Linked DNA regions of Rattus norvegicus. The protein of the gene in region 2 interacts with the protein of the main gene of each other region in a biochemical or structural test. Links are inferred from orthologs where the notes say so. Each region holds a gene or a part of one and is shown on either strand. Other genes may lie near its edges.

Region 1 (7,852 bases), on a different chromosome or scaffold from region 2:
TGCAGTGGCCACTTCTTTACTTGTCTCTGAAAGCCACGGTGATAAAGGAGAAAAGCCTCAGGGTCTTCCTGGAATAGGCATTGGGCAGCACTGCTGGGCCCTGAGTACAGCTGTTCATTAAGGTAGCGAAATCGGGCCCCATCCAGGCGTTGTGTCATGCGTGCTCGCAGGGCTCCAGCTCTAGTCTCTTGACTGTCTGACTTTGGAGCAGGAGGCACCTCAGTCTCCTCTATGGAAGCCTTGAGAGGCACCTGGTCCTGTGTCTCAAGTGGCCGAAATTTGTTCTTGTGTCTCCGCTTATTTTTCTGCCGGTTCCGCCACTGCTTGCGGCTCAGGGTGTGTGAGGAGTTAGGTGATGCAGACTCACGGCTTGACTTGGGTGGGTCAAGTGTAGCAGTACTTGTCCTAGAATTGTGAACTGCAGAGAGGGAGATGAGAAGGCATTTGAGGCTTGATCCCCTAAATTCAGAGGCACAGGAAGTCATCCTGGCTACTCCCTTGTCCTTAAGACAGAGTCTATAGCCTCTTACCATCCAGCCCATGGTGTGTGTGTGTGCGTACAAGAGAAAGACAGTGCCATCTACACAGTCAGTTCATACCCCTCCCCCCATTCACATATACTGGTACCTGTTTGGTCAACACTGTTCAGGGACTGGGTTGGGTGTAAATAAGAATATTCCTGGCATTTCCTCTTTCCTTTTTCTTCTCCAGCAGAGATCCCGCCAAGAGGAGGAGCTTGTCTGTGGCATGTTCTTTCCACTTCTTTCCCCTCAGAGTCACTGATAAATGGTGCCTGTTTTTGACACTTCCCTTTTCTTTTCTTCCCTACTTCCTTTGAGACATTGGCAAGTGAGGACCTTTGGAAGTGTCTCTTCTTCCTTCCTACCTCCTCCTCTTCCTCAGAGTCACTGCCAGGTAGGCTGGGGCATTGCTGGGAGAGAGATGCTGCTTCCAGGGCTCGTAATGTAGCCAAGAGATGGCGGCGCTTACGGCCCTGGAGGCAAACAAGGGATAAGAGTGTGTATGTGAGAATGGATGAGGCCTGAAGGCTATGAAAAGAGATGGACTTCAGCTACTGGTGGTCCTTCCCATCCAAAATTAGCACATTTGTTGTGAAGTCAGCCAAGTCCAGAACTTTCAGGCTGCAATTCCAACCTCTGGGAGGCAGGAGGGCAGACAATGTTCCCGTTCTACTTTTCTAAATGGGTAAAGGATTGCCAGTTGATTTCCTTAGAGGAATGTGCTAAGCACCCAAGCAACGGGACCAAGGTAAGACTGTGGCTATCTTTGCCTCTCACTGACAGCATTCTAGGGGCAGCAGAGGTTTTTTTTTTTTTTTTTTTTTTTGTTTGTTTGTTTGTTTTGAAACAGGACGGACAGTGTCACACATGTCTGTCTATTAAAGATATTCCTAACTGCAGTAGAAGGAACAGCCTGTTAGGAAGAAGCTGCACACAGACAAGCAGAAATGGACCACAGAAATGAATAGTACATCCTAGGCTGACTGAAGGTCAGGAACAGCTTAAGGGGATATAGAATTCCTCACATCTGATGAGACTCAAAGGAAAAGGCCTGTTTTCCGTGAAGTTGATTTGGGGTTCAAGTCCTACTGCTGGTCCTCAGCCAGACCCTTACCTTGGAGGTTCTAGATTCCCTGAGCCTCCTTTGAATAGTGATTCTGATACTTTCCCTGTCACCTGCCTTGATTCTGTCTAATATACACTGCAACTAAAAACCCTTTCAAGGTTTCGGATTCAGCTATGTAGTAAATGCTTGTCTACCATGCTGAAGCCCTGGAATCGAACCTCAGTATATAAAGTAATGCCAGGTGAGAGAAAACTTGGAGAAACCACTCCACTGCTAAAACTCCACTGATTTCTACCCTTAGTGTACAGAAAACTTACTAACTTTTCAAGCTCTGCGCTCCAAGCTCCTAATCCCGCATTCCTATTAGGACACACTGTGATACGGTGAGTTACTGCCCGGGAGCTTCTCAACATTTTTCTAAATCTCAGGTACGCTCTTCTCCACACCAACTTCTCACCAATTATGTTTTAAGGTCAGTTTTTTGGAGAGTTTCCGGATCTTCAGATCATGACTAACTCTCTCACCATCCTGATAAACGACAGCATTTCAGGCTCTCCCTCTACCCAACACGACCCCGGGAGGATCGACTTTGCCTCCTTAAAACTCTTCAAATAGCCCGGTGCAGGGCCGCTCACCTTGACTGGCGGGGCAGTCGCCGCCTGAACCTGTGTTGTCACGGGCCGGAGGCCAACGATGGCTGGGGCCGCCTCGACCCATTCGGGCTCCTCAAACATACCGGTGGCCGGCAGGGTTGGAGGAGTCTACGCTCTGGCCCACGTGTAGCGCGCGTCCGAGAATCCTAGGACTGGAGCCAGACCAAACTCGGCCGGAAGCCACCGAGAGAAATTCTGTGGTGGCTAGAGCGGCCCGCGCGGAGCAGAGCACCATCGAGTGTAACCGCTCCTGAGCTAGAGAGGCAGTAGGAGGTCGGAAGGGAGGGACCGCGGCCCGCGCTGGCTGGAGAGGGCCGGGCCGGGCCGGGCCGGGGCGGGGCCGGGCGGCGGGCGCGGCCGGACGGGAGTTCCCCGGAGAAGCCGCCTGCGACCCGAGTCCCGGTGAGTGCGGGTAGTTCCGCGCCCTGTTCCATGCTGGTCTTGCAAACCTGTCTCTGCGATCTCTACAGTAGCTCTGAGCCGGGGCCGCCGGGCAAGGACCCCTTTCCCCTCCCCCGGGTGTTTGCAGCTTTGGGCCCCTCCCCTCCCCCCAAGCCGTGTTCTAGGGCCGTGACTCGGAGCCCGCTGACGCCAACTCAGGAAACTAGCAAAGTCTACCCTATACCTCCAGATCCCCCTGCTCCTCGAGCCCAGGGGTCGTCCGCTGCCCGAAGCCCTTCACAGACAACCACTGTCCCTTTCGCGACGCTCCCCATCCCAGCACTGACACCTCTGTCCTGAGGGAACAGAGATAGAGTCATTCTCTTGTCTCTGTTCTCCCGCAGTTCCCCGAGACTTCCCCAGTCCCGGGGTCTCTGTGCCGGGACGCTGCTATGGACGACATTTTCACTCAGTGCCGGGAGGGCAACGCGGTGGCGGTGCGCTTGTGGCTGGACAACACAGAGAACGACCTAAATCAGGGGTGAGCTGAAGCATTGGCGAGTGAGAGGACTGCTAGAAGTCCGCTCTCCGCTACTTGGGGTGCTCATGTCGGGCGGAGACAGCTAACTTTGTTATCCAGTGTGATGAGGAGTATTAGAAAGCAAAGTCTGTTGATGGAGGAGGGTTTACAGAGAGGAAGCTGTGTCTGGGTTTTTTGTTTTTACTAAGTTTCACAATCGGTTCCCGAGGACTTTGCAGCCTCTGTGAACTCATGTCAAAGGCAGACCAGAGTGCCAGAAAATTGGAATTACATGTGGTTGGAGGATGAGTTTCTGCGCCCTAGAGCATTGGATAGAAGTGGAAAAGGACATTAGAGATCTAAAGTTCTGAAGCTGTGTAGTGATGAGACTACCCATTTGTCAGGTGTCACCGTGGATGCAATTGCCTTAAAGTGATGTTTTGGATACAAGAATTGAGACAGGGTTAGTGGTGAGAGCCCTAAAGTCATAAGAATGAAGTAGTTGAGTTGGTATGGGAAGTGAAGGAGGAAGTCAAAGATGACCTGGGGTTTAGGTTTGGGAACTTGGACACTTGGCAGTTGCCGATGCTCCATTTTGGACTGACTACAGTTTGGTGACACTACAATAACTTGGAAATGCTTGACAGGTTGTTGTTCGTGCAGATTTTAAGTTCGAGAGAGGTCTGATTGGGATACCAAGATACCATAAATTAGCGTTTAAATGATACCTGAAGATTCTATAAGGTGAAAAATAGTACCTCAGAAGAGGAGTAAAATAAAGGCAGAGGTCGAGAAGGCTGGCTGACTGACAGGGAACAACCATCTGAAGGAGAAATAAGAAATGGACTAAGATTAGAGAATGGATGTTTTAATGGAAGAAGAGTGGTTAATTATAGGCCACTGAGAAGTTAAAGAACATAAGTGAGCATTTTAAGTCTTCATTTAGTTTCCATTTAGGATGTATTTGGTCTTTGAATGGTATTGCAGAAAGTAACAGGAAACTGCATTACACTGGGTTCCTTCAAATAAGAACTCCTTGAGGGATTGGGAATGTAGCTCAGTGGTAGAGCATTTACATAGCAAGTGCAAGGCCTTGGGTTTGGTCCTCAGCTCCGGGGGCGGGGGGGGGGGGGGGAATCCTTGCATAAGACCTCATCTATTCCCTATAGATGGCAGGCTTCTGTCAGGGAAAAAAGTGAATGGAAAGTGAGGAAACAGATAATGTGAACACTTTCTACAATGCTGGCTGATATAAGAAAGCAAGAAATGCAGTGTTGGAAGAGTTTAGTAGGTAGTTTTGGTTTGCTTTTGGAGACAGCCTGTCATGTAGTTCAGAATGGCCTCCAGCTCTCCTTCCTCCTGCGTCAGTCAGCCTTCTGAGTGCTGGGATTTCCATTTGTTGCAACTGTATTTGACTATAAGAGGATTGTTTTAGGTTGGAAAGGATCATCTGTCATCCTAGGCCAGGTTTCACCAGCTTCCATTAGGGTGAATACTGTTTCTCTGTTATATTCAAAGTTACTTGTTTCATTTTTTTTTACATTAACTTGTGCGCTCTGTAAACACTAAGCTGTCTGTCCTATTTTGTTGGTAAGAAAATAGAAGTTTAGGCTGTTGTCCAGTGGGAGTGGCATCTGGAAGAATCCTTGTTGTCAAAAGGTGAAGGGTATCATTAGGGAAACCAGAAAGCTTTGGTGGCTTGAAGGGAAAGGGCAGTGCTGGAGGTGGTTAACTCCCTGCAGGCATTCTTCAGATAGAAATCCAGGCCCTCAGGTGACAGTGGGCAAAACATTTGCATTTGTTCTCAAGCTTAAGCTTCCTCTGAGGCCACAGACTTCTGGAAGTTGTTTGGTCAGAATACATGAAGTCTGGGAGAGAAGACTGATAGGATAGCAATGGATATACTCACATCCTCAGAAAGCTTTTGCCGAGTTTGTATTAACTGATGAGGGCAGACTAGAGGGACAATTTTTTTTTTTTTTTTTTGGATCTTTTTTTCGGAGCTGGGCAATTATTTAAAGCTACATATCTCCTTCAACTGTTGGGGGATTCTGGGTGACCAAGCCAGGATCAACTCAAGGCCCCTCCTCCAGCCCCCTCACAGGAAGTGACCACAGCACTAAAGCATCTGGAGGCTGCAGGCCTAGACCACAGACCGCCCCCTGTTCCGCCCCTCAGATCTGCATCCCAGGGCTGGAGGGAATTTCCTTTTATGGCTCCAGGCTGTCAGTTTGACCCAGCCCATACAGTTGTTTTGTTTGTACACTTCTCTTTATAAAATATATGTCCTTAGGGGATGAAAATAAAACTCAGATATATTTTTTATTCAAAAGCTTCAATTTATATTTTCCTCTGTGAATTTTGGTTGGTAAGTAGGAACATCCGGGTTTGTGTGGTTATCTGCCTCTTCAGTAATCAAAAGCATGTTTGTTGTTGTACCCCTTCAAAATATTTTAATTCCATTCCATTTTTAGATGTCAGCTTCAATAACAGAGCCAAAAGTAAGCCTGTTTCCTCTCCTAAGTTGTATAGCCTGTCTTCTCCAGTATGCCTTTGTAACTTTACAGCAAGGAGATGCACAAAAGCAGTCAAAGGATGATAGGTGTTACTAAAGATGCATGAGCTGGAGATGAAGCCTAGTGGTATAGCATGTGCCAAGCATACGAGGTCCTGGGTGTGCTTCCTAGCACTGTCAGATGGGAAGACAAGAAGGTAGGGAACCCAGAGGACCCCAGAAGAGTACTGTCTACCTAATGAAATAGAACTGCTAGGAAAGGAGTTGTGGTTAAAGTGATAAACCTTAGAGCTGTTGGGACATCTAGGTGATTGTTGGGTGTAAAGCTCAAGGGAAAATCTGAACTGAACTTTAGGAATTGCCAACACAAGTAGAAATTAAGTCTTAAAGAGGCAAGCCTTCTTAGTGGCTACAGAATTTCTTTTCCCCGATGAATCAAAGCTTTGTCCTTCCCAACACCAGCTTAGTGTCTATGTCCTTTTCTCAAAGGGATGATCATGGCTTCTCCCCTTTGCACTGGGCCTGCCGAGAAGGCCGATCTGCAGTGGTTGAAATGCTGATCATGCGGGGAGCACGGATCAATGTGATGAATCGTGGGGATGATACCCCCCTGCACTTGGCAGCTAGTCACGGACACCGTGACATTGTACAGAAGGTACATGCAAATCCTTTACCATCCACATCTCACACACAATATGAAGCCAGTAACAGGCACTGTCATGTGGAGAATGTGTGCTATTCTTTCTTTCTTCGTGCCTGGACACAAGTATCTCACAGGAACTGACTGCCCTTTTCTTTTCTTGGCCATGGGACGCAGCTGTTGCAATACAAGGCTGACATCAATGCAGTGAATGAACATGGGAATGTGCCCCTTCACTATGCATGTTTCTGGGGCCAAGACCAGGTGGCAGAGGTAAGTACTCAGACCCCAGGTCCTATGGTGAGTGGGAAGCAAACTGGGCATGGAACCATCAGTGCACCTGTCAGTCCCACTGTGGGACAGTTACAGAACTGTCGTTGCGTCCATGTGTTCATGCTTGTTTGTGACTGGCCTGACAATTTTCTTTTCAGGACCTAGTAGCTAACGGGGCTCTTGTGAGCATCTGTAACAAGTATGGAGAGATGCCTGTGGACAAAGCCAAGGCACCCCTTCGAGAGCTTCTCCGAGGTTCATTATCTACTCCTAGCTTGTCTCTTGTCCCACCTTGCATCTTCTCTCTCCATAGCACAATTAAAGCCAAGACCATTCTTTTTCTCTAGAACGGGCAGAGAAGATGGGCCAGAATCTTAATCGTATTCCATACAAGGACACATTCTGGAAGGGGACCACTCGCACAAGGCCCCGTGAGTCACTACTGTGGGGGGAAGGGCTGCAACACAAGATTCCTGGGTTATTGGTGTCATATTAAGGTGAAGCTGGGTACCTGACCTGCTCATATTCTCAGGAAATGGGACCCTGAACAAACACTCTGGTATTGACTTCAAACAGCTCAACTTTCTGGCAAAGCTCAACGAGAATCATTCTGGAGAGGTGATCCCTGCCCATTTTGTTTCTCCCTCCCTAACACTCACAATCTGCCCACTCTGTATTACTAATTAAGGTTTTCTTCAAGTTAGGAGAAAATAAATGGTACAGCCCGAGCTAATGTCTTCTAACCTCTACCTATCCTTCAGCTATGGAAAGGCCGCTGGCAGGGCAATGACATTGTTGTGAAGGTGCTGAAGGTTCGAGACTGGAGTACAAGGAAAAGCAGGGACTTCAATGAGGAATGTCCCCGGCTCAGGTGAGACACCTGAATTGGAAGCTGTTTCTAAGGAACCCCAAATAGTACTGAAAAGTGAAATTCTGTTGGGTCTCACCACTCTCTTCCTCTCCCAGGATTTTCTCTCATCCTAACGTGCTTCCGGTACTAGGTGCTTGCCAGGCTCCCCCAGCTCCCCACCCAACCCTCATCACACACTGGATGCCATATGGATCTCTCTACAATGTTCTACATGAAGGCACCAGTAAGGATGTTGGTCTTGTTGGGAATAGAATAGGGGTGGGGGACTCTAAACTAATGATTCTTGCTTCCTGTTAGATTTCGTTGTGGACCAGAGCCAAGCTGTAAAGTTTGCTTTGGACATGGCAAGAGGCATGGCTTTTCTTCATACACTAGAGCCTCTCATACCTCGGCACGCACTCAATAGCCGTAG
Region 2 (7,808 bases):
TTCCTGGAGTTCAAACCTGGCTGTTTGCACTTCCGGGAGGTACAATAAATGCTTAAAAATCACAGTGAGTGGTGTGTGAATACCTTTCACAATATCTTAGTTTAGTTTAGATCATACATGCTAACTTCAAAACCTAACTGGATCCTCACTCCTCCCCCCCATCCTTGCCCCCCCACCCCCGTTTTGAGACCAGGTCTCATTCTGTAGACTTGGCCAACCTGGAACTTACTCAAAGACCCATTTGCCTGTGCCATTCCAAGTGCTGGGTGTGCAGTACCAGGCAGGGCAATTTTCAGATTTTAAGTCGGCTCCACTCATTTCTTCTTTATCGTAACTGAATCCCACGACTTCCCTTTAAATCTGTATCATGGGGATGTGATTTAACTTCAGACTCAGAGCTGGAAGAAATCGGTCATAGGCGGTGGATCCCTCCCTCTCTCCCAGCTCACAGAGCTAGCTGCTGAAACTTCCATTCATTAAGCTCCGCACTATCACGCATTCCTTACTCACCACTGAAAGTGAGTATTTCTAGAGAGACGCAAACCGAGTTGTTAGAAAGTCATCTAAAAGTGACTCTAAAACTTAGTGGACAAAAGCTCAGAGTACCTAGAGAAAAAGGAAAAACCAAACAGAACACCAATTAAGCATCCCCTTTGGTACCCAGAATCCTCAATGCTGATGAATCCCTGACTCTCACAGGTCTAATTGCTTTCCAGTGATCTCCAGAGGCATCCCAGCCAATTAAGCTTTCTTTTACAATTTATTTTTAGATATAATTGTTTTAAATTGTATCTTTTTTCATCTTATTTTTACAATCCTTATCCTTGATATAAGTTTTTTCTCTTAAAAACAAACAGACAAACAAGAAAACCTCAAAAACAACAACAACAAAAACTATACACACCAGACATGCTATGCATGGATCCCAGTATTTTCAGGGCCAGCCTGAGCTACATAGTGAGTTCCAGGCCAGCTCAGGATACATGAGATGCTGCTTCAAAACAAAACTAACACATGTTCAATGCATGGCATATACGTGTATGAAATTATCCTTATAGAACAGTACCATTTATACCCAAGTTAAAAGAAAATTAAACTACACACATCTAAATTTTCTTTTTTTTTTAACTTATTTGTTTTTGGGTTTTTTGAAACTGAATTTTTCTCTGTAGCTTGGTTGTCCTGGAATTTGCTCTGTAGACCAGACTGGCCTCAAACTCAAGAGATCCACCTGTCTCTGCTTCCTGGATGCTGGGATTAAAAGTATGTGCCACCACAGTGGCCGTTAACATTTTATTTTAATAAAAAAGACTATAGTAATATTTAAAGCCCTTATTTAAAGTGTTCTATATAGCATTTAAAGAAGGATAAAAAAAAAGCAGTTCTTCACATACATGGAGATGTACAATAATGAGACTGTCTACGATCAGCCTACACAGGCCAATCATAAAAGTTTCATCAAGCTATAAACCCCCAAAGCCCATTATCGCATTCACGGCATATACTTCTTGTTTTCTTTTAATGTCTAAAGCAGAATGACGAATGTGGTCCATGCTAAGACGTAAGAGTCTTTTCAGAGGTTGGGAATTAAAGTAATAAATCTGAGAATCAGGTTTAGATAACTACATTCCCTGGAATGCAAGTGTTCTTCAGAAAAGACTGAAACCAACTACAAGGATAACCGCTGACACACACCAAGAAAGCATCATCAATGCTCCCGACTTGGTCTGCTCCAGGAGGGACACCAGCTGTACAGTAAAACCTGCTGTACACAATGGCTGCTCCCTTCACTGCTCACCTGCATCTCTGAGGACCTAATGACAGCAAAGGTACCCCCTTTCCAGAGCTTCCACAACTCAAGGCATGAAAGGGAGGGTCAACCTGGGGTCTATTAACTCCAGGGAATCATGGGGTGCCGTGAATTGTAAAGCCTTTGCTAATCATCTACCCTCCAGTGAGGCTGACAGGGTCATCATACACAGTTAAGGCTGCCTGCAGTATACTGCCACTAACCGTTCCATGGCCCCGTAAGCCTGCTTCTGCTACATGCCCAGTACAGCTGTGCAATCTGAAGACACCAGACACCGTACCATCTCATCCCTAAAAAGACCTCCACCTCTTACCTAGACTCCTGTAGGCTGCTTTGATCTAGTCAGCCACTGTTGGCAAGAGTCATCGAGTTGGTCTTTTAATACCTTTGCTGATAACACGCAGGGCTTCAGAAGGCAGCCCATCCCAATGTTAAGACAAACCCGAAAAACTGCAAAAATTCCTTTCTAATTTGCCTGGTCTGATTTGTGGACATTTTAAATGGTATCCCACTCTTGTGTACTTGTCAAAAGTCTGCAATGCCTCCCCCATTTGGAACTTAGAACTCGAGAGAACTGGTCCAACTGAGGACAGGTACAAAATTCCTACACACAGAGGCATCCCTGTGTCCCCCTCGTTCCATGTAATTAATTAACATCGGCATGATTAAGATAGTTACTCAGAAGTATCAATCCTGTCTACAGACAGCTCATCCCCCAACAATTCTATTTATAATTGTGATTTCATAACACAGTCAGTCAAAGTGATGTAAATATAGTAGAAATCATTATTTATTCATTAAAGCCTGGCTTTTTGAGAATTCCAACTCGTCTAAGTCACCTTTGACAGATCTTTTATTGCATTACTTAAAAAAAAAAAAAAATTACCGTGTAGAGCTGGGCATGGGGAGGGCACCCCTTTAAATGCCACAACTCAGAAGCAGAGCAGGCTGGTCTACACGGCGGGTTCAAAGCCAGCCAGAGCTACATAGTGAGACTATAGTCTCGGATAACAAAACCAAAAAATTAACCAATCAAATAATTAAAAACGGCAATGTATCAGCAAGGTCCACTAATCACATATAAGGCACTCTGATACAAACTACCGGGTCCTTGTCAAACAGGAACCATATTGGGTAGTTTTCATCCCCAAGTGGAACTGGACAAAAAAGGTTGGTAAGTATTTTGCCAACAGTGATTAACTTGAATCACATTAAAAAAAAAAAAAAAAAAAAAAAAAAAAGCAGTGAACCGACAGTTACTTGGTTGGTGGCTCTTTCTGGGCTGTCTCTGGCATCGACAACGGACAGTACTGGGAGGACCCTGCTACTGAGAGGCGGTACAACGAGCTCCTCTTTAGACCTCCAATAATTAAATTCCCTGCAGGGGCATTAAGTAGATTCACCTAATAAATGAAATCAGCCTAATTCCCAAATTGTATCAGGCTATTTCATTTAAGTTTATATGGTAAATAGGCAGTTCCCCTTCCTCCTTGATAAGAAATATATTTTCTGAGAGACGAATATTCCTTACTTTTCCAGGATGGCCTGAAGCATGAATACTGATTAAAACCAACTAACCCCGCCAAAAAGACATCCCCACACAAAACACCTTATCACTTCATTATCCCACAGCAGCAAGCACTTTGCAGGTCTGAAAGCTGTTCCTCAGATAAAAGCTCTCCCGATAAAATCATCATCTTATCTAGTCCGGTCCTTCTGCCAGGTGAAAACGGTTTGCCTTATCACAAAATGGGTAGTGCCATTTTCTCAAATATCCTGGGTGACAGCCCTGGCTTACAATCGAGGCAGAATCAATCCAGTATCCATGTGTACTCAAATAAATACTGTCAACTTCAACTCAGTTTAGTGTCTGCTTGAAAAGAAAAAAAAAAAGAAAAAAAGAACCACCAAAAAAACGAAGTTCTTTCATTGGCTTCTTAATGCTCGAAATAGCTCACTTCCAACTCAGAATACAGATACCAAGTTTGTGAAGCACTGCCCCACCCCTCGCAAGAGCTCAGAGTGGAACATTTCAGGGCACTCCATCACGTAGTACAGCTACAGAAACTTCATACCGACCGACGCCAGTGCACACTCTCCCCAATAAACAGCGTCATCCACACCCAGGTTCAATGAGGGTATGAGGCGTTAACACCTACAGACCCGTAATACCACATTCACAACTTTCACCTGCATACTCTCCTCCTCGTTGCTTTCAACAAGTCGTCCCGGGAATCCGCAGTTAACTATTTAGTAGGCTCGAATCACTACCTTATGTAAAAATCAAAATAACAAACAGGACGCGGAGGGGAGCGAGTCTATGCGCCCCGATAGCAACAAATTTCGCATTTTAAGCGCAGCACACGCCGGGTGCTAGGATCTCCCAATCCCACCCCTCCCCCCGCCGTCTTTCCTCCCCACCCCCTCCTCTCATTCTGGGAAGTCTTCATTGGAGGCATCAGGGGTGCTACTCACCGAGTTTTTCCACCAACTTCAGCATCACCCCTCCGATGTGCACCTCCCCGGTCACTCTGAGGGTGACATCACGGTTCAGGTCGGTGACATGGACGCTCAGTTCCCACGTCCCGTCCGCGTAGCAGCCATCTGGCATCCTTATCCCGTCCAGAGCCATGGCTCCTTCCTGCGAGCGCGGAGGAAATGGCTCTCGTCAGCGTCACTCCCCCAAAGGAAGACAAACCCCACCGAGTCCACGGCGCCGGCCGCAGCAAGGGAGAAGGCGGAGGAGCCGCGGCTAAGCGCGCACCCCCGAGGGCCCGGTTGCGGGCGCCTCGGCACCCAGACCGCGGCCTCCGCCCGCCGCACCCGCCTAGCGGACTCGGGCGCCTTCACCTGCCGCCGCTGCGCCCGGCCCGCTCCGCGCCTCCCCACCCGGCCCGGGTGACCGCGCTGCGCTGGCCCGCGCTCCGCTCCGCTCCGCCGCGTCCTCCCCGCGCTCTGTTCTCCCGCTGCGCCCCTCACCGTGCTCCTCCCGCCCGGCTCCCGCGGCAACAGGCGAGGCCGGCGGCGCCCGCGTCGCTGCTTCTGAGGGAAGCGAAGGCTCCCGCTGCGGCTAATGGAGTCCCGGCGCCGCGGCCCCCGCCCCACCCCCTCTCCCCGCCCCGGCCCCGGCCCCCGCCCCGCAGTACCGCCCGCAGCCGGCCTCCGCCCCCTCCTCTCCGGCTCTCCTCCCGCCGCGCTCCCGCGGGGGCCGCGCGCGCTCTGGTGGGGCCCGGGCGGCGCGCGCCTCGGGGGAGCGCCGCGGGGGGAGGCGGCGGCCGCAATCTCGGCCCTGCGGAGCGCTGCCCTTTTATGGAAATGAAGGACCAGGCGCAGGGATGGAATCCAACATCCGGGCTCTCGGCTGCGGAGCTGGGGAGGGGGGCGGGGGCGCGCGCGGGGCCGAGGCGGCGCCTGCAGCGGGGTCCCGGGTTCGTGCGTGAGAAGCAGCCTCGCCAAGTTCCCAGACCCCGGGACCTGTGCGTGGAACCCGGGCGCGAAGGCACCGCGCCGGGGAGCTAGGGAGAGAAGTTGGGATGCAGAAACTTTACGATGTCTGCCTTGAACATCCCACAAGAGTAGGAGAAAGGACAGAGGAGCGATGAGCCACAAAAGTTGCCTGGCAAGCAGGGTCCCCCTCCAATCCGCAGCTCCTGCGGGACCCCGAGAGATGGCGAGCATTACAAATCCCTCGGACACAAATGCCTGCCAGACCCAAGAGGGTGGCCCATGCGCTCCTGCTGGAAAAGGGGGACCACCCCCCACCCCCTCCCCGGGCAGTGGCTTACCCGAGACCGCTTCTCCACCCTCGCCAACTGTTTGCGCGTATTTGGGACTTTTCCTCCACAACTTAGAGGACTCAGTGTTCTGGTTGCACGCACATTCTCTTCCTCACCCTCCGACACACCTCGAAGACATTTAAGTAGCTCTGAACCGGTGTTCAGAGGACAGAACTTTTACCTGTTATAGACTTTGACTAGTGATAGAGAACGATCTCCGACAGCCCACTTCCACGTTCCCTTTAACTATTACACTCTGTTGAAAGGAACTGTTCAGAATCAGCAAGTCAGGGAGAGTCAGATAAGACACTGTAAAAGATCCAGGCTTTTAAAAAGTGTCTTGGACTTCTTGAACTGCCCTACACGCTTCAAAGGGGAAATCTACCGCGCAAACAACCCTTTGTTCATCCATACAACATCGAAAGAAAAAGCACAGTCGCCAGAAAGGAGTGGACACCCGTAAGGGAGTGAAAGCAGAAAAACTTAGTCAAATGCCAGAGGTTTGGGAGTGGAAAAAAAAGGGAAACCACTCATCTAACGCTAGCTAGTCATCATGGAGAAACTGATGCCTCTCTCTAAGCTTGCCTCTCTCCAGTTATTTCTACTTGTAGACGTTTGTGAGTGGTTTACTTAGAAACAGTGTTGTTCAGGGTGGAAACGGCGTTGATGAAATTATGTTGTTGGAAAAATATAGGAGAATGTTTTTTAATAATGTAGAGAATTAGTTGCGTGGGTAAAAGATAAAAAACAAAACAAAACAAAAAAACAAACAAACAAAACACTTTACAAACCAGGCGTAGTGGTGCATGCCTTTAATCCCAGCGCTCGGAAGACAGAGGCTGGCAGATCTTTCTGAGTTCAAAGCTAGCCAGGCCTACATAGTGAGTTCCAGGACAACCTGGACTATTAGAGAGACTCTGTCTCCAAAAAGCAAACAAACAAAGATCTGTAGAAAACCCCGTACGTGCCACTGTAAAATCAAGAACCCAACCATTTTTAAATATTTAGATTTTAAAAAAGATTAGGAGGAAAGTCCCCAAATGTTAATTATTTGGTGTTGTGGTCTTGAGGGGTTTTCTTTTGATTGGTTGGTTTTAGTCTTTCTTTTTCTAACCACCTCAAAACCTGCCACATCCTGGACTTTTCTGGCTACTGAGAACTGTATTCACTGCCGCAATCCTTCTCTGTGTGATGGACAGACTGGCCACAGCAGCTACCAGATTCGTGGGCAGGATTTGCATTTTTTTTCTGTGTGTGTGTGTGTGTGTGTGTGTGTGTGTGTGTGTGTGTGTGTGTGGTGTGTGTTGGCATCTTCAAAGTTAACTATACATTTGTGTTATCTATACATTTACAAATAGGTTGACACAAAACATATAGAGAACATATTGGTACCAATTAAAAAGTATCAAACAATCAGGGGCCTATCCCATGGGGAAATCTCTTTATTAAAGAAATCCCTTCGTGAAATGTTTACGCATGTTCGTTGCCCACTGCATCTGTTTGTTTCCTCCCCTTATCTCCAAAGGATCTGTGGCGATGTAAAAGGACGCGTAAGGTAGGAGGTAGCAGACATTAGAAGTGGCTGGAAACAAGAACAAGATGTGTATGTGTTTGAGGCTTAGGAGGATGGGGTAGGTACTTGAAATGAGGAATGAGGTCCCAGAATTATTCCTAATGACCTGCCCGTGTGTTCCAGTAAGCCCAGAGTCTCTCTAACATGCCTTAGCACCAAAAATATCCATGTCCTTTCTGAATATTCCTTCTCCTCAGACAAACTTGTTGAAGCCAAGTGTGGTACTGAGCACTGGGAGGCAGGGACCCTTGGTGAAATACCGCTGGAAGAATGACTAGGGTGGGTGCAGCCTGTTCTTTCAGGCCTTGGCTTTGAGTATTTCAAGCTGTTGCTGCTTTGAAGATTAAAGAGAAGCCAAAACTCAAACCTTTGAAACCAGGATATTTTCCCCCTTCTAGTTCATCAAGTGAGACCTTCAAGTGCATTTCTTAAATATTTGCTTCTACCTAATGTTTTCTAATGTATTTAAATGTAGGCTCTTATCTGAACCCCCGCCCCAGAACCTCTAAGACAACTCAATACTTGTGGGACTTACATCATGCCGAAAAGGAGCCGAGAACTCCAGTGTTTGGAAGAGCAGCTCCAGCTTTGAAAGCAGCAATACCCATATAAGGTACCAAGCACTGGGCTTAGACTTAGACCAAATGAT

Evidence for each region. The genes of interacting proteins can lie anywhere in the genome.
Region 1: the proteins of Fermt2 (region 2) and Ilk form a complex in vitro, tested with the Homo sapiens proteins (2 studies listed by BioGRID). The link is inferred for Rattus norvegicus from reciprocal best matches to the Homo sapiens genes FERMT2 and ILK.

Annotation. Positions count from the first base shown.
Region 1 is NC_086019.1:169,498,094-169,505,945, forward strand, and holds the start of Ilk (integrin-linked protein kinase), read left to right. Parts: upstream 1-2,627; 5' UTR 2,628-2,642; exon of another isoform or gene 2,643-2,733; intron 2,734-3,025; 5' UTR 3,026-3,073; coding exon 3,074-3,162; intron 3,163-6,145; coding exon 6,146-6,311; intron 6,312-6,473; coding exon 6,474-6,569; intron 6,570-6,727; coding exon 6,728-6,824; intron 6,825-6,916; coding exon 6,917-7,000; intron 7,001-7,101; coding exon 7,102-7,187; intron 7,188-7,330; coding exon 7,331-7,440; intron 7,441-7,535; coding exon 7,536-7,663; intron 7,664-7,737; coding exon 7,738-7,852. Other genes in the region: Rrp8 (ribosomal RNA-processing protein 8), read right to left, coding at 1-418, 628-994, 2,223-2,321. UniProt on the Homo sapiens protein: Scaffold protein which mediates protein-protein interactions during a range of cellular events including focal adhesion assembly, cell adhesion and cell migration.
Region 2 is NC_086033.1:21,226,577-21,234,384, forward strand, and holds the start of Fermt2 (fermitin family homolog 2), read right to left. Parts: upstream 4,875-7,808; 5' UTR 4,790-4,874; intron 4,452-4,789; coding exon of another isoform or gene 4,443-4,451; coding exon 4,286-4,442; intron 1-4,285. UniProt on the Homo sapiens protein: Scaffolding protein that enhances integrin activation mediated by TLN1 and/or TLN2, but activates integrins only weakly by itself. Binds to membranes enriched in phosphoinositides.